2 linked regions of the Rhinolophus ferrumequinum genome follow. Each later gene encodes a partner of the first gene's protein in a complex. Links are inferred from orthologs where the notes say so. Each region holds a gene or a part of one and is shown in the gene's direction. Other genes may lie near its edges.

What was found. Proteins that work in one complex are often made in the same cells at the same time.
Region 2: DLG4 (region 1) and SHISA6 share a complex: the UniProt entries of both Homo sapiens proteins name them as parts of the postsynaptic hippocampal AMPA-type glutamate receptor (AMPAR) complex. The link is inferred for Rhinolophus ferrumequinum from reciprocal best matches to the Homo sapiens genes DLG4 and SHISA6.

What each region holds. Positions count from the first base shown.
Region 1 is NC_046304.1:11,614,608-11,621,572, forward strand, and holds the start of DLG4 (disks large homolog 4), read left to right. Parts: upstream 1-3,909; 5' UTR 3,910-4,107; coding exon 4,108-4,137; intron 4,138-6,965. Other genes in the region: ACADVL (very long-chain specific acyl-CoA dehydrogenase, mitochondrial), read right to left, coding at 192-326, 432-496, 581-653, 738-803, 1,079-1,154, 1,230-1,291. UniProt on the Homo sapiens protein: Postsynaptic scaffolding protein that plays a critical role in synaptogenesis and synaptic plasticity by providing a platform for the postsynaptic clustering of crucial synaptic proteins.
Region 2 is NC_046304.1:8,305,983-8,313,533, reverse strand, and holds the start of SHISA6 (protein shisa-6), read left to right. Parts: upstream 1-4,483; 5' UTR 4,484-4,586; coding exon 4,587-5,224; intron 5,225-7,551. UniProt on the Homo sapiens protein: Involved in maintenance of high-frequency synaptic transmission at hippocampal CA3-CA1 synapses.

The sequences.
Region 1 (6,965 bases):
GAACCCGGGTGAGGTCCATGGCCCTAGTGGGCCTGCATGTAGTTTGGTGTGTGTGGAGCAGGAGGGTATACACATTGGGAGAGTCAGCATCCCATAGACCGCCAGATGCTTGGCAGAGACCTTAGCCCCAGGGTTGAGGGAGGAGCTGAATCTGGGATACTGGGAAGTGACTGAGGGGCTGGCTCCCTCACCTGGGTGTTGCAGAGGCCCACGCCACCCAGTTCACTGGGCACTTGCAGACCAAAGGCCCCCAGCTCCTTGAGGCCCTGCATGGTGGGCTCCTCCACCTGCTCCAGCACGTCATTCTTGGCAGGATCGTTCACCTCCTGGGGAAGTCACAAGATCCCACATCCAGGCTCCTTTTGAACTTCTTAATCTCTTCCAACCCATAGAGGACCATGCCCTCTTTCCCAGCCCCAGTAATTCCTCACCTCGAAAAAACGGGACACAGGCCCCACCAGTTCTTTGAGAAACTGCATCTGCTCCTCGTTGAGCACTGCAGGGCAGCAGGTATGGGCAGGTCATGCCAGGCAGGTCAGGGGAACCCACCTGCCCCCACCTATCTCTGACTAACTCTTACCAGACGGGTATGGGAACACCTGATCCGTGGTGAGCTGGCCCTTGAACATCCCCACAGCAAAGGACTTAGATTCCTGCGCCAGGAGAAGGGGGTTTCAGGGGGCTGGCTGAGGTGGGTCCACACCTCGCTTAGCTCCTCCAGGCTTTGGGTCACATACCGCCTTGGCCCGTTTCTCCTTGGTCGAAGCCTCAGAAGAGAGAGAATCTGACTTGTCCAGAACCGCCTGGGGAAAGCGACAGTTAGCGCGGCCGGGAAAGGGCTACCCAAGTAAGTGCCCGGGAGAGCTAGGTGCCGGGGAAGGGCGGATCCGATGACCTTTCCCCTAGTTTCGTCCCCAGGCACCCTGGCCTGCCCTTTCCCCTACTTTTTGTGCCAAGCCAGTCGGCAGATGACTGGCATTAAGAGGGAGACCCTTATCCACGTCAGGGAGGTGGGAGACGCGTCGGACGCCCACCCCGAGCATCCCTCTTCCACCGTCCCAAAGCCGCCGTCACCTACCTGAGTGGCCGCATTGGCATAAGGTCGTCGGGCAGGGCATGGCTGGGGCTGCCCCAGGAGAGAACAGGGCCGCGAGCTGTGGGGAGTTGGGGGTTCAGTCCTGGCCGGGTCCCCAGGCCCGCTGCCCCCATCCCTCCCGGCGTATACACACCTCCCGCACCCCAACCTCAGCAGCTGTCGCCCCACTCTCGGAGCCGTCCTCGCCGCCTGCATCTCTGAACCGCTCCGGCTGTCGCTGCTTTGAGCTCTGACCTAACGCTCTACTCCCGTCAGCCAAGGTCTGAGTCCCCCCCACCTCTGACTCATCCCCCACAATGCCCCGGGAGGCGGGCGGAGCTTTCCGGCCGCCAGGGCATGCTGGGAGCTGTAGTTCCGAGTGCTCCTGAGTCCTGCATTCTGGTTGACCTAGGGTGATCTCCAAACGTCCCTTGTCTTCCCAAAACTCCTTCCTCCCGTCTGTCCGAGCTAGAGAGTAGTCTTCAGAAGGCGTGATGGGATACGCTGGGACTGAAGAAGTTTGCAGCCAGAGGGATGTAGGGTAGACTGAAAGGAGAACTTCCCAAGAAGAGTTAGAAAGGAGAGGTGGGAAGAGAGAAGTATAAATAGAAGCAGTGGCATAGAAAGACGACTCTGGGATCTCTCCAAGTCCATCTCCACAAAAGGGAGAGGAATGGCGGGGTGGGGGACTCGAACTGGGGTGTGACTGTCCTAAGCATATTCTCCTGAGACCTAGGAAGTATCACTAACTCTGGAAACACCTAAATTTTCACAGTAGCAAGGACCTCCTCTTCCCTCCTGGAGTTCACTGCCTCCCATGTAGGGCCACTGAGACCTTCCTCAACATCTGTCTCTCTCTCTGCAACCCCTTCCTTCCTGAGACCATGTGCTCAGGCTAGACCTCTGGGTAGATGGAGTCTTCCCAGGCCTGGGAAGAACTATAGGAATTCTCATGTTTCCACACTTCTCTACTCCTGGGCAACATGTCCCAGGTAATTTATGCCCATCTTTCTGCCATTCTCACTGGGGACAGGCACTGGAGGAGAGAGAGCTGAGCTCAGTTTCCTTTATTTTTGAGCTATTGGGGCCTCCTTGGGGGTGACCCTCGTTCTCAGTCCCTTAGGAAAGTGTAGCTAAATTGTGCCTGGCTTTGGGGAGAGGGGCCCAGGGTATGTGGAACAAGGTGGTGGTGGAGGTGCCTGGGGACCTAGGGAAGAATGGGACATCACTGGGTTTGTTCTGAGAACGCTTATTTGACCTAAGAGCTAGAATTGGGTGGGGAGAAGGCAGCTCAGCTCTAATCCTGGGGGATTAGGGAGATTAAAGTGAGAGAAGAGAGAGATGTCAGAGAGACCAAGAGGTGAAAAATAGAAGTCCTTGTGAAGCAGAGGCCTGGGGGTGGAGTGTGGGGCTGAGACTCAGGATCCTTCTCCCTGACCTTTCCATAGAGTCTGGGGTGAAAGGGCAAAGGCTGGGAAAGATGAGGTGAGTGAGGGCATTGGTCCTCACTTCCTTGTTCTAATTCGCCCACCCTCACTTGCATTTCACCAGCTCCCAGGTCAGCCCTCTGGCTCCTGGCTCCCCCACTATTGCGATGGGCACCCCCTCTCCTCACAGTGCTGCACAGTGACCTCTTCCAGGCTTTGCTGGGTGAGTAGTCCCAATTTTCTGAGGGGCAATGGTGGAATGGTCTGGCCTAAGCTTGTGAGGGCAATTACTGAATTTGGGGGCTGGTTGGGAGCCTGGAGATTATTTGGTCCAAGCAGGAGTTTCATGCAGGGGTCTGGCTAACAGTGTCCCTCCCTGAGGGACTATCCACTAGCCTTGGCTGGAGGAGCTCCTCCCTTACCAGAAAGAAGGAAGCGAAGTGATGGCAGGGGTGGCCAGGGAGGCAGGGGTGGGGGAGGGTAACTCAGTGCTGTTCCTGTGACAGACATCCTGGACTATTATGAGGCTTCCATCTCAGAGAGTCAGGTAAGGGGGTGAGGGTGGGGGCCTGACTTCCTGAGGGAGGAGGCAGGGTTGAAGGGGTAAGCAAAGTACTCCTGATATTGAACTGAGACTTTGGGATCCTGGGGACAAAATCCTGAGTTAGGGGCACAAAGAATGCACTCTCCTGTCCTTTAGCCCCTTCTCCCTCTGGCTTCCTCCTTTCCTTTGCCTGCCCCCATTTCTGGCACTAAAGAGTACAGGATATAATTACTTTGCGGGTTTCCTTCTGTGAATCCTGAGGGAGAACTAAGCCTGGGATTCCCTCCTGCCAGCCCCTCCCTCAGCCCTGCCATGGCCTGTCCAGTATTTAAACAAACATGGGTGCTCCCAGCCCAACTATGGGTGCTTTCTCCTCTAATAAATGAAATCCACCCTCGTCATGTCTGCTGTCCTTGCTGGTGGTTGGCCAGGTCTCCATGTTTGCCTCAGGGCCTCTCCGCTTCTGCTTCCATATCCTTTCCCATTATCCGGGTTCCTGCCAGCACTGAAGGAGTTAACTCTGCCAAGGCACCCCCCCATTCTGGCTCCTCGCTCCCTCCCTCCCTCCCCCTGCTTCCTCTCTCCTCCTCTCTCCCCTTCCCTCCTCAGCTTCACCGCTCCCTCGGCCGCTGCCGCCTCCAAGCCCCCCCCCCTCCCCTGCAAAGGCCCCTAGCCTCTGGCCAGTAGGCAAGACACCCCCCCCACCCCGGGGCTCCCCGAAATCCAGTTTCCCTCCCCCACCTCAGCTCATGCCCCAGCCCCCGAGCCCCGGGGCTGCCAGCCCCCGGTGCCCCCGCCCCTCCTGAGAACCGGGGTGTGCTCCCCAAGCCCCCTCCCCTCCATAGGGGACCCCCTTTTAGGGCCCCCTTCCCCTCCCTCCCACGCTCCCCTACCCTTCCCTTCTCCAACACCCTCTTTCCCCTCTCACCCCTCCCCCCATCCTGGCTCCCCCTGCAAAAGTGGGGTGCGGAGGGGGGAGGGGTGAGAACCCACGGAGGGGAGGAACAAAACTCCGATGAAGTCAGAGCCCCTAACCCGCCACCGCGGCCAGGCCCCCCAACATGGACTGTCTCTGTATAGTGACAACCAAGGTAAGCCTGATGGGGGGACTCTAAACTGGGGGGAGGGTATGAGTTTGTGGGGAGGGGTTAGACAGGTCTAACCTGGGGCTGGGGAGCATCAGAAGATGTATTTGGGGTCCTAATTTAGTTTTGGGGTTTCCATTTGAGAAAACGCTGGGTTTGGCCACAGGTGCCCCCTGGAGTGATCTCTTTGGTAGAAGTGGAAAATTTGGGGTGTTCTGTGGTTTGGGGGTCTGGTGGTTTTGGGGGTTCACCAACAATGTTTGAGGGAGACTTATTTGAGGAGAAGCCTGGCTCACATGGGAGTCCTGCTTGTGTATGTTAGAAGGTTGACTATGTGGGGGGGTCGTCTTTCCTCCTGGTGAACAAGCTGGCTTCCAGGTGCCTTGTCCAATTTCAGGGGTGTTCTGGTATGGCATGGGGGTAGGAAGTTATTGGTTGTGAGTGCCTGACTGGTCTGGGGGTATCAGACTGTGGGAAGGGGCTTGCTTTCTTTCTATAGAACCAGCATCTCCTGGTAGATACATTTGGGGGTGCTCTCAATTTGAGGAAACTGTTAATTTAGGGTGCAGTCACATGGAATGGGGAGAGCTGGGAGTTGTCGGAGAGCTGGGGCCTGACATTCACCTGAGGGAATGGACCAGGTGAGGTTAGGATCTGGGGCACTCCCATGGGAGGCAGAGGGTTGCAGCAGCTGAGGTTGCCAGCTCCTGAGGTTTTGGAAGAGAGGGTATTTGAAGAGGGGAACCAGGTGGGTGGTGCAAAATTTGGGGGTGGCCTAAGTAGGTGCCCAATACCCCCATCTCCTCCCACACTCTATCTACCCTTGGTTGAGAAAGAGGGAGAAGAGCAGATGGAGGGGAATGTTCCTGTTACCCCTGACACTTGGGATCATAGTCGGGGAGGACACCTGGATTTAAGGTGACTGGAGTGAAAAGAAATAGGACGGCTGGGCTGGCAGCAGTGAGGATCTGTACTAGGGTGTCCCTGTGGTTGGAGCCTGGAAAGGGAAGAAGAGCTTGGATGGGGAGCACAAGCAAGCTCCTGGTGGATGCAGAATACCTAGGTCTTGGCTGTGAGACTCTCGGACTGGAAATCTGGATGCTTGGTGTGTGCAGGGTGGCTTGGGCGGGTGGCAGGCAGCTGGGGGTTGGGGGGTGGGACAGGAAGTGGGGGCCGGGGAGGCGGGGTCTGGGTGAGTCACTGGCTGGGGAGGGGGTTATATTTAGTGGGAACTGCAGCTTCTCAGAGGAGGGAGTTGAGGACACACATGTTCCCTGCCACAAACTCACACATGTGTGTACACATGCGTCGTGTGCGTGTGAACATGGATGGAAGAGGTTGGGGGCTGAGGACCTTTAGGTCTGGAGCCCCCACCCTATCTCCAGGGCTACTTGCTGGTCTCCTTTTCTGTGAGCTTTCTCCTACGCTGCTTCTTTTTCCCAACCCTTGTAGTGTCAGTAGATTTTGGGGGCTTCAGTTTCTCTGGCCTGCTCTCCTTTAATGTCCTCTGGTTCTCTGCTCCTCCTGCCTCCAGCCCTTAGCCTTCCCCTTAGCCTTAGGCTCCCTGGCTGTGGTCCCGTGTGCAGGTGTACACAGAAAGCCAGTTGGAATGTGTGGGCTCTGCTTCCAACACGTGAACACATATGTGAGCGAGGGTGAGGGGCTTGCCTGCACTGACATTCTGGGAAAGGGGGCTTATCCATATCTCTTCCAGACTCTTACTTCTTCGATAGAGCCCAACGTTGAGCATCCATTAAGTAAGGAGCCTTGCGCAGAGAGGATCATACATTTGGGATCCTACAGAGGCATGGAGATCCAGGGTTGCCACATTCCTTGGCCGGAAAACTTGTCAGTCTTGGGATGGCGGGGACTCCAACTCCCATAAGGCCTTGAGGCACAAAATCCCTCAGTGTTAGGGGATTGCTGCCCGTGGGGCTGTTGGGAGTTGTGGTTCAGCTTTATCCAGGGCAGTGGAGGGTAGCCCTGGAAGAGCCAGGAGGGGACACATGGCTCTTGACCCCCCAAAATAGGGGGTGCTTAGGCTTTGCGGTCGTTGAGCTTCCCAGCTCCATCTGAGAGTCCTCCATCTTTCATTGCCTATATTTAGACTCCTGCCGCAGTAATTTAAGGAATACTTATTGAAAGCCTACCTTGTGCCAGGCCCTGTGCTTTGTGCTAACTCTGCCTTTACAGCTAACACTTATTCTTACGCTGTGTGTCTCTCTCTGCCGGTGTCTCTCGATCTCTGAGCATCTCTTTCTCCCACTCCGCCCCCATCCCTCCCTCTTCTCCCCGCGCTGCTGCCGCCGTTGCCATGGTAACCGGCGACGACTGAGGTTGCGTGGTGGACTTGAGGGCCGGGCGAGGGTGGCGAAGGGCGGAGCAGAACTAGTGGGGGAGGGGGCGAAGTGGGGAAAGACCCGGGGTATTTGGCCAGAGCCCAGGAGGCGAAGCGGTTAAACCCTCCGGGTGGTCCTTATTGGGCAAAGCTAAAATGACGGGGGCGGGGCAGTTTGGCCAACAGCCTCATTCATTGGCCGACAGGGGCGTGGCGAAGGGACAGTGTGGGCGAGGCCGGGGTGGGTGGGGGGGAAGAGCAAATGGGCGGGAAGTGGACGGAGGCGTGGTCTCCTGGAGGCGGGTGGGCGGGGTCTGGCTTACTCTCAAGGGAGGCGGGCAACAGCCCTTGGAACGGGGCGGGGCCTTAGGGCTGGGTAACCTGAAAGTGAGGGCAGGTCTGGCCTGGCAGGGGCGTGACGTGGTCCCTTGTGTCGAAAGAAGACAGGGTTTGAGGGGCTTGTTGCCTAAGTCACTGCGAGGCGCGGGGGTCTTTG
Region 2 (7,551 bases), about 3.3 Mb from region 1:
TACATTTTCACTCATGCTACATGTCCATGGTGGGGCACTATTTTTATTGTGTGGGGCCTCTTCTCACTGTAGTCACTTACAGGCTGATAAAGCCACTTCCACATAGAGCATTGCTGGTCACTATGCCTGAAGAAAACAAGAACTTCAGAGTTTCTTGAAGTGGAAATTAGATGCTCCGCTTCAGAAATAATGCACATCCTTTCTGCTCATGACTTATCGACCAGTACTACTAAGTCACTTTCTACTTCTACTCACAAATGGACCCAGAATTGCAATTCAACTATAGGTTTGGATGGCAGAGATATTTAGTGAGCAGCACTAATAACTATTAAATTGAATATCAGCTTCAACTAATAACTGGTTTTGGCCACTCCCCCAACCCCCTGCCTTAAGATCATAACATCCAGAGAAACAACACTCAGAAAAGTAGAGGAATTTCCACTAGTTTTAACAGCAAGGAAAATCTCCCCAGAATCTCTCAACAGTTCCCTCACTTTGTATTGGCCAGAACTGGATCACATGTCCATTCTTAACAAATCATTGGCAAGGGGAATGAGATTATTATGGCCGAGCCAGCCCAACTGGGATCAATCTTCCAGAGCCAGGGATTTGGTCACTTTCCTTGAGCTAAGGGCTGTCTGAAGTTGGTGTAGGTGTTGAAAAAAATGATTTTTCTTTGGCACTTTTTAATGAATCAAATCCACAAAGGAAGGACACTTCCATACTGTCAACAATAGGTATCAAAACTAGAAGGAGAAAGTAGGGAAATGGATGTTGGTAGGCAGCCAATCTGGACTACTATAAGGGGCAAACATAGAGGGTTAGAAGTGTCAGTAAAGGCATTAAGAAGTACAAATTGGCAGTTACAAGATAGTCACGGGGATGTACGGTACAACATAGGGAATACAGTCAATGATATTGTAATAACTGTGTACAGTGTCAGGTGGGTACTAGACTTATTGGGGGGATCACCTCATAAGTTACATAAATGTCTAACCACTATGCTATACACCTGAAACTAATATAATATTAAATGACAACTGTAATTGAAAAAAAAAGAAATATAGTGTACTACAGTAAGGGTTGGAATAAATAATCCCTAAGATCCTATCCAACTCGGCGATACTTATTTTCTGTGAGTCAATTGATGCTACCAGTTATGAGCACAGGAGTTCAGAACAAATTGTGGGTGGTGGCTGTCTGAGGAACCAGAGTATTTTCCCTTACTTAGTGCCATTGATCAAATCTTGGTAGAATCCCATAGGAGGAAGACACATTTCTACCCGTTGTGAGAAAGCTCCTAGATATGAAATAGGCAATTCTGGGCCAATAAAGAGGAGGTGAAAGCTTCGGGTAGAGGAAAGGAAGGGACTGACTTAAAAACTGCACATAGTATGAGGGTAAAGAAAATGTTGTGATTACTAAATATACAGAGGGTGCCAAAGAAATGTATACACATTTTAAGAAAGGAAAAAAACTATTAAAATTGTAATGCTCAACTCACATACTGATAACCAATAGATGAATACAAGTCACGTTTGACTTCTGCAATTACAAGAGGTGCTCAAAGTGGTGACCATCAGCATCCAGACACTTCTAATTACGGCAAACTACTGCCTGAGCAACGCTGACCAAAGTACTCACTCATATACATTCTTTTGGCACCCCCAGTATATGCCTATATTATGATTCCCCAATGCCTATGCTTTTCTTACCTGCTCTCCTGAGCTTGAAACTCGTGTGCTGGGGTTTCAGTTAGAGCTCTTAAAGGCATTTCAACATATCCATCACCACTGCTGTCCTGGACCTGCTTTTTTGACTATGCTTGTCATCTCCACTGTGGGCACCAACTAACTCCCAGGAAGCTACTGCATCCCTTCATCGACTTTCACCTGGATTGTCAGAGCAGCTTCCCTATTGCTCTTCTCCCATGCAGTGTTCCTTATTCCAGTTGACTTAGAGATCCAACGAACGTGTAAATCTGACAGTGCCTTCCCCTTGCGTAAAGCCCACTAATAGTTTCTCATCAACTGTAGAATAAATTCAAGTTCTTTGGCAGGAGATATAATGTCCTTTTGCCAGCTTTACTTGGAAGACTCCCTCAGAGTTTATGCTAATCTGCTATATCCCCTGCTCACACAGCCTCACTATTTCATGTCTTCCTGATTTTGCTGATGATGTTCCATCTGCTGGAGTGTCATTCCCCTCTTGTTTGCTGTATTAACTCAATCTTTTTTTTTTTTTTTTTTTTTTTTAAGATTCTGCTCATAACTATCCAGAAAGCTACCGTGGACTCCCACCTTTTGACTCCAGGGTTAGGTTGGTGCCGGTCATGTGCTCTCAGAGCACTTGTGCCACCTTTATCATGGGACATAATAACCACAATATGGTGATCATTTGTTTATCTGTCTCCCCAAGCTCCCCCTCCTTGAGGAAAGGGACCGGCTTTTTCATCCTGTTATCTCAGCACTTAGCACAATGCCTGGTAGAGGGTAGGCACCAAATAAATGGTTCTAAAACAGAATTGTTAAGAAGAGGGTGGCAGCTGAGATGAAGTTGAGGGAATGGGAGTAAGTACAGACGAAGACGGAGGGAATGGAGAGATCACAGCAAGTGGGAAGTTGCCAGGGGAGTTTGTGCATCTACCATCCTAGGACCAGTGTCTCCCTCCGGTGCCTTGGAATCTGGGTTCCAAATTCAATTTCTCCATTCTACAGTTCCAACAAGAGGTTCTCTGTCTTTCCCTAAGGGGGGAATCCTTGATTTGAGTCATGCACGAGTGGGACTGAATGGACAGCCTTGGGGACAGTCTCTACTCCCCAACCCCCATGGGCAGTCTCACAACCTGCTCTCTGCCTTCAGCCTAAGCTCTCTGGGCACTTGCCCACACGGCCACGACATGAAGGCAGGATTTGGGCAGTGGCTGTTGCTTTTTCTCATTGCCCCCACATACACCAAAGAGACGATTGTGACTCCCTCTTGGGGTAACATCATGGCTTTGAGAGTTACAGTTAGACCTGAGCCTCTCACAGACCAGACCAGCAACTTTACAGGAAAACAGCCCTATCCACTCCGCTTCTCCCCTTCAGCTACAGCAGAGGGATTTCAAAGCTGAGTCTCAGAGAGCTTATCTAACTGTGCCTCAGTGCTCTGGAAAAAGTCGTGGAAAGAGGGAATAAGAGCCATTCAACAGCTGCGGCTGTCTGGTGCCTGTGCACCTGTTGGAGGCAGGGCGGGAGCAGAGTGCTCAAGGGGAAGAGAGTAGGGCCTCCTCACCGGCAGCCCAATAACCTCCCATAAGCCGCTTGACCCCTGGTCTCAGTTTAGGAACCTGTAGCAATGGGTTTGACCTCTTCTCTCCGCAGCGAGCGTCGCCACTAGGGAGAAGCAAAGGCTTGCAGAAACCCCAACTCCAGCTCTGGCAGCGCACAGCCCAGGACCCGCCTCCAGGGCTGGACGGAGCAAAGGCAGGGGAGGTTTGGTCTCCTGCGGGCCGGCTCCAGAAGGGGCACTCCCTCCCAAGCTCCCGGCCCCGCTTTGCCGGCCTGGTTCGCTATGTTGATTAACGGGTGTCCTGGGCTTTGGTGACGCGGAGCTTCAAGTGCCGCGAGGTGGGAGAAGCAGAGAAGAGCCCTCCTTCTCCCCGGGCTCCGGAGCGTGTAAACGTGGGTGGCGGTGAGCGGCTGCCCTCCCCTCCCCTCGCGGCGCTCCCTTGTGTGCGGGAGTGTGAGTGCGTGTGTCTCCCTTGCTCCTCTCGCACACGCTCCGGCACCAGTGCAGGCGGCGAGCCCGCGGCTCCCGGCTCGCTCGCTTCGGCCGCTGAGCTCCCGCCTGGCCGCCGCCGCCTCTGCAGTCGCAGCCGGGCATGGTGAGTGAGTGAGGTCCAGCGACCGCGCTCCCCAGGCCAGCTGCCCGACCCCAGCCGCAGCCGGCTCCGTCCCAGGGAGCCAGCCTGCGGCGGGAGCGCGCTGCCGGGCCGGCGGCCGGGGGCTTGGGCAGCCGAGCGGTGCCCGGCGGGGGCGGCCGGTGCGCCCTCGGTGGCCGGCGCGCAGGGCCGCCGGGCCCCGTCTTGGGAGCGGGGTTCGCGCCCCTCCCGGCCCGGAGCCTAGCTCCTCGAGGGCTGCGCGCTCCCTCCCTGCCTGCCTCTTGCCTCCCTCCTCCGGGAGCGCCAATCGACCCACCCCGTGACCGGCTCCCCGTCTTGTCCCGCAGGACCCGCCGGGACAGGACCACGTCGCCGCCGCCGCCGGGAGCCGCGCTCCGGGTCCTGCCTGAGCCGATCCGTGCGCGGGGCCGCTCCCGCTGCCTGCGGGGGATGGGGCTGCCCTGGAGGCGCGCCGAGCCCGCAGGGGGAGCGCGGAGCCCGCGCGCAGCGTGAGAGCAGAGCAGCCCGCGCCCGGCCGGTCTGTGCGCACCGCGCGCCGCCGTCGCCGCTGCCATCGTCCGCGCCTCGATGGCGCCATCGCCCCGGCGCCGCTGACCGCCCTGCACCGCTAACCCGGCCCGCGCTGTCGCCCTCGGAGCCCGCCGGCCGGGGCAGCGGCCTGCCGCGGAAGCTTCCTCGCGCCCTCCCGCCCGGCCCCGCCATGGCGCTGCGGAGCCTCCTGCTGCTGCTGCTGATGCTCTCGCTGGAGTCCCTGGACCTGCTGCCCGGAGCCCAAGGCGCCCGCGGCCGTGCAGCCAACCGGACCCTGAGCGCCGGCGCCGCTGCCGTCGGGGGCCGGCGGCCCGGGGGCGCACTGGCCCGGGGCGGCCGTGAGCTGAACGGCACCGCCCGAGCGTCCGGCGTCCCGGAGGCGGGGAGCCGGCGGGGACAGCCCGCGGCGGCCGTGGCGGCGGCCAGCGCGGCCGTCACTTACGAGACGTGCTGGGGCTACTACGACGTGAGCGGCCAGTACGATAAGGAGTTCGAGTGTAACAACAGCGAGAGCGGCTACCTGTACTGCTGCGGCACCTGCTACTACCGCTTCTGCTGCAAGAAGCGCCACGAGAAGCTGGACCAGCGCCAGTGCAACAACTACCAGAGCCCGGGGTGGGTACAGACGCCCAGCACCAAGGTGGTGTCGCCGGGGCCCGAAAACAAGTACGACCCGGAAAAGGACAAGACCAACTTCACCGTCTACATCACCTGCGGGGTGATCGCCTTCGTCATCGTGGCCGGTGTCTTCGCCAAGGTCTCCTATGACAAGGCCCACCGCCCTCCGCGGGAGATGAACATCCACAGGTGAGAGCCTTTGCCGGGTGCCCACTCCCCACCCCCCAGTGTCCCCCGCAGCCCCATCCCTCTTAATGTGCTTCCCTTGTCCTCGTCATTCGTGGCATCACCATGTTTCTGCGGAGTCTCTAAAGTCAATTTCACCCTTGCTGCTTTGACATGCAATAAATCAGCGCCTCGTGTACCCTCGTCTCCGTTTCTTCAGAACCCGGACACAGGTTCGAGGTACTAGGGGCATTTACAAAGCAAAGTAAGGATTGGTGGAGTCCATGAAGTACGAGTGTAAGAATTTTACCAATTCCGTAATCCTGGATGGGGATCCAGGGTTTAGTTTTCATGGCATGGAGGCACTTTGGTGTAGACTTGTTACATTTGGTTTTGAGTCAAACCAGAGCTTCTTCAATATAGGAAACTGACCAATGTTAGAACCCTGCAGGAAAGAGTACCAAGTGACTTAGTGTGTGAACTGGATGGTGTTAGAGATGGAGGAGATATGTAAAGGAGGCCTCCTGGGTGAGGAAGGAATAAAGATTTATCTGTCCCACATTGACCAAGGGCACGTGGTGTCTCCTATTGTAAAGCAACTGGGTTGCTTGTCTTTCCTGCTGAGCCTGGAGGACTTGTTCTCTTAAACCCTGTAGGCAGGACTCTCCGAGTTAACACTTCTTGCTGTGTGAAACCTGCTGGGCATCTTTCACTGCTTACATTAGGGAGGCGGTGGGGGCTGCCTCCTACCAAAACTTCTACCAAGAGCTCAAAATATGGCAGTCCCTGATTTCACCCTGACTGCCTCCAACCCGACTACTCTAGCTGCCAGTAAGCCCTTTGGGAAGTCAAAGCCCAGAGAACAGGAAACCAGCCTCTTTTTACAACTCCAGGAATGAAGCACCCAGGGGATATAAACTTAGCTCTGCTTCCAGTCCCCTTGTGATGGTGAACGGCTGGATGTGGTTCAACAGAGTCCTTTTAGGGAACAAATCCTGCCTTAGGAAATGCCTCCGTTTCTGGCATTTGCCCAAGTAACCAGGACCACCCCGCCCCCAGACCAGTCCTGCTTCTGAGTTTGCCCAGGAGCCCCTCACCCTGAACTGTACACCTTTAGCTCATCTCTGCACTCTGCTTGTTATCCTTTTGGCCTGAAAACCTTCTTCCCTCGCTGCTGTGGTCATTCATCACCTGTACCTTGATGAAGAGAGAGAGAGGCAGATAGAAATTTCTAGGCATGATTTTTTTCCCCCTTTGATACTGTGAATGTTGAGAAAAGATGATACTCCCTGGCAGGTTTTATTGAGTCAAAATCCTGAAAGTGTGGCTAGTTCAGTCCTGAGAAACTCTGGTGTTGGAATTAGGGTGTTTCCAGGAGTCCCGTGTATAACCCTCACTCATCACCCTAACGTGCCACTGCCTGCCATTCAACTCCCACCTTGTTTCTCAGGTAGTGGGTCTGTGCCTGGACTCATCCTGGGAACTGATGGAGGAATTGTGACAAATGATCCGGGGTCAGTGCCTGGTCTCAAATGCAGAAGGCAGGTGGGATGGACAGCAAAATAAGGACAAGACACTCCCTGGGTCTTATCTGACAAAGAATTCTCTCTTTTGGCTCATCTTGGAAGACAGAGAAGGTGTTGCCTGTGGGCAAGCACCTTCCTGAGCATATGGACCTGGTCCTTATCATCCCTCTGTCTCTGTTTCCAGGCCCTGAGGGTTGTCTCCTTTTCCCTTCTCCTGTGGTCCTGGCTTCTCCTCACACCTTCCGCTCTGGCTGTGGCCTCTTTCTGGTTGATTCCCACAAACCTTTCTTTGGGTTTCTTTTTTCTCTGAGCCTTTGTTCTCTGCTCTCTTAGAGACAGCTGCCCCCCTGCCCTGACTTTGCCACCTCCTACTGAGTTTATTCATCATTACATGGAAGGATGCTGATGGTATTTAGATGCTGGCGTTGGCCTGCGTTCTATTGGCCCGTGACCCTGGAGATATCACTGTCCCTCGTGGTGTTTTCTCCCCTCTCCACTGACCACCTCCCCCAAAACTAGGATGAACGGTGTATGTGTGGGTGTATGGCTCAATGGTGATGCCACTGGGGGCAGTTTCTTTCTGGGGTCAGGGAAGAGCGGTAACCATGGGAAGGGAGATGAATTTCAGCCCTCAGACCATTATGTAAATATGGAATGTTTCTCCCTCAAACTCACCTCCTGATTTTATTCAGTTCACAGCACCTCTTCCAGCAGCTGCAGTCTCGCCTGGTCAGAGCTTTGGAAACCGTCGTACTGGTGCTTGTTAGGTAGGGGACAATGCCAGTCTCTGTGTTTGCGGGGAGGAGGGCACAGAGTGTGAGAGAT